2 linked regions of the Cricetulus griseus genome follow. The protein of the gene in region 2 purifies or fractionates together with the protein of the main gene of each other region. This does not show direct contact. Links are inferred from orthologs where the notes say so. Each region holds a gene or a part of one and is shown on either strand. Other genes may lie near its edges.

Region 1 (2,835 bases), on a different chromosome or scaffold from region 2:
TATCTCTGCTCTCTGTTCATAACTTCTCCCCACTATTGCTATGGCCACATTAGTCTTTCTGACACATGTTCAGATTTTACTTATTCTTCAAATTAATTCTGAAAACTTTCTAAAATCTTTCTGTGTCCTATCCTGTTCCCAGTTCCTGTACCAAAAGTAGTTTTTCCTGTGATAAACAGTTAGCAACTCCTAATAATTTTATTTTATACTTATGTAAATGCAATCCTATGAAGTAAAAAGTATGTATCTTGCTAGGTGTGGTGGCATATGTCTAAAATCCCAGCACTTGGAAGGCAGTGGCAAAAGACAGTGAGTTTGAAGCCAGCCCCATTATATAGCAAGACTTGGGGGGGAGGGTGGGAGGAGGGAACCAGATGGCAAGGGAATAAAAAAATGGAAATGATGTCACAGTAAATTTTTTTGGTTTGTTTTTAAGACAAGGTTTCTCTGTAGCTTTGGAGGCATCCTGGACCTCACTCAGTAGACCAGGCTGGCCTTGAACTCACAGAGATCCTCCTGTCTCTACCTCCTGAGTGCTGGGATTAAATGCATGCACCACCACCGCCTGGCAGAGTAATATTTTTTAAAAAAGTTTCTTTTTGCTTTGAGACAGAATCTCATTTTGTAGCTTAAGCTAGTCTGGAACTTACTACATAGTGCAGGCTAGCCCCAAATTCCACAACAATTTTCTTCAGGCACCCAAGTACTAGAATTATTGGTGTAGGGCACCATGCTTGGTTAAGAAAATGTTTCTTTTGTTTTATGATTCTAATAATGACTACTCAAAGTGAAATTAGCCAAGCTCAGAAAGACAAACACCTTAAGTTTTGTCTCAAATGTGTATTCTAGATTTGAATTGTGTATCTGTGTGTAAAACAGAAACAGTGAAAGGAGAGAAAGACATATTAACAGATGAGAGGAGAGGGTAAAAAGAGTAAGAACACATGTGACATACAAATAAAAGGAGACACTATCCAGAGGAAGCTGGCAGGCTAGGAAGAACTGGATGGAGGAGACAGGAGGACAGCAGCAGATGAGAACACAGTACAACAAAGGGTAATCACACATCCATATGAGAATATCATGATGACATAAATACATTGCTTTGTTAATTTAGGAGTCTGAGGCTAGTCTGAGCTTTGTGAGACTATTGAAAAAATAAAATCAAAACCAAAAAGTTAAATGTGAAGGTTACACAGCTTTCTAATATATTCTAATATAAGAACTAACATATTCTAATATAAGAACTAAGGGCAGCTATTACTCACCATTTTCTTTAGGTTTGTATCTAAATGAGGGATATTTCTAATTGTTTCAAGATTGGTTTCCAACTTCTCGATGAAAGTCACAGCCAATTCCAACAAATGTACCATATATCTGAAAGAGAGTATATGGGTGAATGTAAATTTGTACCACAGGCTCCCGTGTTTGAACACTTGGTCCCAATTGGGTAATGCTGTTTGGGGACTTATTGGGCACAGGGACTAGTTGGTAGATATAGATAACTGGGGGCAGTCCTTGAAGGCGATCTCCAATTTCTGATTCATTAAGACGTGAGCAAGCCATTTCACAATCCTGCCACCACAGATGGAGTTGCACTAGCTGTGCATGTTACAGCTCTGAGGGGAAAGGATTCCCCAATGGAAGTGTTACAGCACTCCGGATGAAGGTTTCCCTACTGCAAACGTTACGGCTCTGCTGGGGGGCAGGGTGGGGTGTTTCTCCAGTGCAAGTGTTACAGCTGTGCAGGGAAAGGTACCCCGGCAGTCAGGAGCCAAGAACTACTACAACATTACATAGCACACGGACCTCACACAAGAGATGTGTAGGGAAAAACCCAGGAGGGTAGCTGCCTCTACTAGGGTGAGGGGTGAGAAGCAGTAGAGAACTGAGCAGAAGACAGAGTTTATATAACATTTCTTGGGGACGGAGCTTTCCAGAGTGGGGCTTGGTGGGTTTCCAAGTCCAGGGCATTAGTGTTCTGTGGGTGGAGCCTAGTGGTTGGAAGTCCTCAGGGGCAGGGACCATCCACTTGAACACCAACCACAAGGCCTTCCCTACAATGTTGGATGCACTACCTCTAAACTGTGAGGCAAAATAAGCCTCTCCCCAACTAAGTTGCTTCTGTTGGGTATTCTGTGACAGTGGTTAGAAAAGAAAAGCAATACAGAGAGAAAGTAAATTAGCTTTTCTTTTTATTTATTTATTTATTTATTTATTTATTTATTTATTTATTTAGGTTTTTCAAGTCAGGGTTTCTCTGTGGTTTTGGAGGCTATCCTGGAACTCCCTCTGTAGACCAGACTGGTCTCGAATTCACAGAGATCCTCCTGCCTCTACCTCCTGAGTGCTGGGATTAAAGGTGTGGGCCACCACCACCAGGCCAGTTTTTGTGTCTTTTACTGTTTTTCCTTTGTTAAATTTCAATAGAATTTTTATATATAGACAATAATAAATGTACTTCATAGAAAACAGTCTATACATAATAAAACAGATTTTACTGTGCTGCATGTTAGGGATCTAATATTTTTCTTTCTTTCTTTCTTTTTTTAAGATTTTATTTATTTATTATGTATACAGTCTTCTGTCTGCATGCCAGAAGAGCTCATCAAGTCTCATTCAAGGTGGTTGTGAGCCACCATGTGGTTGCTGGGACTTGAACTCAAGTCCTCTGGAAGAACAGTCAGTGCTCTTAACTGCTGAGCCACCTATCCAGCCCCGGGAACTAATATTTTTTAACAAACCATAATTTATAATTTCTAAAACACAACTGGCAAAACAAAGTCCTTTTTTTTTTCCAGTTATAATTATTTAAAAACAAAGGGCACTATCTAA
Region 2 (4,291 bases):
GCTTATGGTTTAACATCCCCACCCCATGAAACACCCTCTCCCCCACTGAACTTGTGAGCCCTCCACAATGAGGACTGAGCCCATCTCTGTCACCACGGTGTCACCAGAATCACGGAGCACAGTCAGCTTTGTAAATGACGAGTAAAATCTGAGGGAGCCAACAAGATGGGCCCATTAATGGGTAAAGGAGCTTGCTGTGCAAGCCTAACAAGAGTCAATCCTGGGACCCATGGAAATGTGGAAGGCAAGAACTGACTCTACAGCCAGGTAGGCGGTGGCGGTGCATGCCTTTAGTCCCAGCACTCGGGAGGCAGAGGCAGGCAGACCTCTGTGAGTTCGAGGCCAGCCTGCCCAGAAGACTGCATACCGAGATATACAGGCTATCCTTTCTGCCTTTTATTCTCCATTCAGACATGAGACACTGCTTTTGAAAGCAAACTGTAGTTTGTTTGATTTTTTTTTAGTTTGTTTTGTTTTTTTTCTCTTTGGGGGCATGCCACCCGTCTCCTAAATAAATAAATAAATTAAATAAATAAATAAATAAATGGAGACTTATTGTTACTAATGAATGCCTGGCCTTAGGTTGGCTTGTTCCTTGCTAGATTTCCTAACTTATCCTGTTTCTCTTTAACTATGTTTTTATCTTTCTTTATATATCTATATATCTTTCGTTCCTTCTTATTCTGTGGCTGACTGAATGGCTGGGTGGCTGGCCCCTGGCATCCTCTTCTCCTCCTCTTGTCACTCCTCCCGTTCTCTCCAGCCTAGATTTTTTTCCTCCTATTTATTCTCTCTGCCTGGCGGCCCCATCTATTTCTCTCTCCTGCCTGGCTGTCAGCTGCTGAGCTTTTTATTAGACCCGTCAGGTGTTTTAGGAAAGCAAGGTAACACAGCTTCACAGAGTTAGGCAAACGTTAGCATTAAAGAACACATCTTTCCACCGAATAAACGAACTAGCACATCTTAAGCTGATATTCCACAATTCCAAGCGTCGGTAGCTCACGCCTGTCACCCAGGATTTGGGAGCCTGAGGCAGAAAGATCACAAGTTCTAGCCAGCCCGGCCTCACAGCCCCTTTCTCAAGACAACAAAGCAGACGGGGACACGGCTCAGATGTTGAGAACACTGGCTCCGGGAGAAGGGAACTGGGATTGTCATGTAATAAAACCTTATTTGTAATTCAAATAAAAAATGATTTAAAAAAAGAAAGGAAGGAAGGAAGGAAGAAAGAAAAAAAAGAAAGAAAGAAAGGAAAGAAAGAAAGAAAGAAAGAAAGAAAGAAAGAAAGAAAGAAAGAAAGAAAGAAAGAAAGAAAGAAAGAAAGAAAGAAAAGAAAGAAACACTGGCTCCCGTCCCGAGAATCCCGGTTTAATTCCCCTCACCCACACGGCGGCTCTCAGCCATCCCTAACCTGACTTCTGGTCCTTGCGCCGAGACCTAGAAGCGGGAGGCTGCGCCGTCGCCTTGGCAACCGGTGACGTCGGCGTCGCGCCCGTGACGTCAGGCCCGCGCGCCGGGCTTGAAAGAAGAGTCGCGGGCGGGAAGAGCTCTTTGACAGCCATGGAGGACCTGAGGCAGAAAGTGCGGGAGCTTAGTCGCTGGGCTGCGGAGGAGATGGAGGCGCCCCGGGCGGCCGTCCCCGGGGAGCCGGCGCTGCGCAGGTGGGACGCGCATCCTGGGGTCCGCAGCCCTCGGGGCGCTGCAGAAGGAGTGGGGGGGCCCGGGTGGCGATCCCGGGGACCCCGCGTAATTCAGGCAGGGCCCCTGGCGCCTGCGGCGGCGGTCCAGGGCTAACGGGGTCCCCGCAGCACCGCACCCTCAGCAAAGGGGACACCGGGGACACCGGGGACACCGGGCCCTTGGCAGGGGCCGTCCTGCGGGGGCCGTGTCTGCAGGGACAGTGACCCCTGATCGCCCCCGTTAGGAAAGGCCGTTTCCTGCGGGGAGACTTGGGCATCCCCCTCCGGAAGTGGCCTCAGGCCAGCCCTCTCCCTCAAGACAGAGGGAAGGCCGCTGTGGCATGGGAATAGCCTCACGCTCCGAGAGAGAGAAGCCCGCCCTCTCTTTGGCACCCTCCGCCCCCAGGAGCACGGGCCCCTCCTCCCAGAAGTGGGAACTCTCGGGACTGCCCTCCTCTACCACCACCACCACCACTGTGGGATGGTGGAGGGTCTTCCTCCTCCTGGGCGATAGCCCCAAGCGTACCTTATGCCCTGTCTCTTCAGGATGTGTCTGGGCCAGGGGGCCGACATCTGGGCCTACATTGTGCAGCACGTGCGTAGCCAAAGGTAAGCCAAGCCGGTGCAGGGAGGGGAAGCCATAGTCAAAGGCCTCAGCAACTCTTCTTCCTCTGTCTCTCCAATGCAGGAGTGTCAAGACGGTCCGGGGAAACCTCCTCTGGTAACTGTTTCTTTATGTCACACACACCCCCACCCCCCCACCACCCCCCACCACCCCCGTCTTCCCCAGTCCCGTCTAGCCATGCCCTCGTCCATAGCCTCTGCTTCCTGCCCTCTACTCTGGAAGCCCCAGCCATCCCCTAACTCTGCTCTCATTTCTTTAGGTATGGCCATCAGGACAATTCAAAGGTGAGAAGCCTGTGCTGTAAGATTTCTCCTTCAACCAAAAAAGAGCTTGCAAACATTTGGCTCTCGGCCCCAGAGGTGCTGGATGTCAGGGGCCCTGTGTCTCCAAACAGCCCAGATCTTTGCAGTCCCAGCATTTGTAACCAGGGGGAGACAGGCACAAGCTGGGTAATATAGGGAGCTGAACCATTACTGGTAGCTGGGGAGTCGCAACTGCCAATCAGGACAGCAGTTGCTTAAAAGGGAGCTGCTAAATTTAATGACAAACGTCAATGGGGAAAGGATGGGTTTGGGAGCTGCTAAGGGGCACAAAAAAGAAGTCAAGACTGGGAGGAAGACACTAGAGAGATGGTCAACAATTAAGGGCACTTGGTGCTTTTGAAGAGGACCCCAGTTCAGATCCCAGTATCCAGAGCAGATGGCTAGCAACCAATTGTATTTTCAGTTCTAGGGGATCCAACACCTGGCCTCCACTGGTGTGCACAAGACACACACACACACACACACACACACACATATTTTTTTTGAAGATTAAGACAGAAGCTGGGTGTGGTGGTCGTTAGTATTCAGGCATCTGTACTGGCCTGTCCCTAATTAAAAAAAAAAAAAACAAAACAAAAAAAACATGGCGTCTTTCTCTCAAGAGCCACTTTTCTTAAATTACAGTAGTGGTACTTGCCTTTTATCCCAGCACTTGGACGCTGAAGCAAAAGGACTGTGAGTTTAAGGCTAGGCTGAGCTAGTTACATAGCAAAACCCTGTCTCGATAAGAAAAAGCATTTGACAGAGATATGGGAGATACCACACAGAAAACCAAGAAGATTGTGAGGTAATCCCAGGAGGGAGAGAGCCAGCTAGACTCTTAGTGCTTCTGTGCCATCCATCCCAGAAGGTAGTCCAGCCAGGCTGGGCCCCAATAAGTCCCTCTGACCCTGTACCTGATCCCACCAGGTCCGTCGGAAGTTGGAGCTGGAAGCCACTGTGGCCCGCCTGCGTGCAGAGAGCCAAAAGCTAGACCAGAGCCTGGAGCTGATGGATCAAGAGACTGAGGCTCAGGGTGACTTATGGGGCCAGCCAAATGGGCAGTGAAACCCTGGATGGGGGAGGTGCTGACCACACCCCTGTTCCTCCCACAGACATGACTATAGCACAGACACTGCAGAGCCTGAAAGAAACCCAGCATCGAACGCTTCTCCTCCAGGCCAAAGGCAGGGCTGTGCAAAGGCAGCAGTGTGGGCTGCAAGGTCCCATGAAGAGGCTACAGAATCAGCTCAGTCACCTGCAGGACATGCAAAGGTGGGGCTCAGCCTCCCCAGGGAGCTTAGACCTTCTCCTCAGAGACCCCGGTCGGTGGTCTGCCTGCTCCCTTTCTGCTTCCAGAATTCTGAGCTTCCAGCTGTAACATAAGGGCCATCAGCATAAGGAGTTCTATTATCTTGGGCACCTGGATTTCTAAGATTTACGGAAGGGCGATAATGTTCAACGTCTCTAGTTAGTGTAAGAATTAGGTGAATCTGAATCCGGGAAAGTGCTCAGATGTCTGCCAGCTGTTCTGAATGTGACAGGAAAGTGTCACGCCGGGGAGGATTTGGAATAGTGCCGCTACACTCTTTGAGTCTCATGAGGGCATTGTTTTTTATTTTATGTGGGTGTTTAGCCAGCGCGCATGTCTGTGCAACATGGGTGTGCCTGGTGCCCTCAGAAGC

What was found. The genes of interacting proteins can lie anywhere in the genome.
Region 1: the proteins of Haus5 (region 2) and Haus2 purify together in Homo sapiens (affinity purification with mass spectrometry; 5 studies listed by BioGRID and IntAct, with this or other methods). This does not show direct contact. The link is inferred for Cricetulus griseus from reciprocal best matches to the Homo sapiens genes HAUS5 and HAUS2.

The regions. Positions count from the first base shown.
Region 1 is NC_048599.1:57,857,603-57,860,437, forward strand, and holds part of Haus2 (HAUS augmin-like complex subunit 2), read right to left. Parts: intron 1,378-2,835; coding exon 1,269-1,377; intron 1-1,268.
Region 2 is NC_048602.1:5,155,449-5,159,739, forward strand, and holds the start of Haus5 (HAUS augmin-like complex subunit 5), read left to right. Parts: upstream 1-1,491; 5' UTR 1,492-1,560; coding exon 1,561-1,661; intron 1,662-2,225; coding exon 2,226-2,288; intron 2,289-2,367; coding exon 2,368-2,400; intron 2,401-2,563; coding exon 2,564-2,588; intron 2,589-3,536; coding exon 3,537-3,642; intron 3,643-3,721; coding exon 3,722-3,881; intron 3,882-4,291.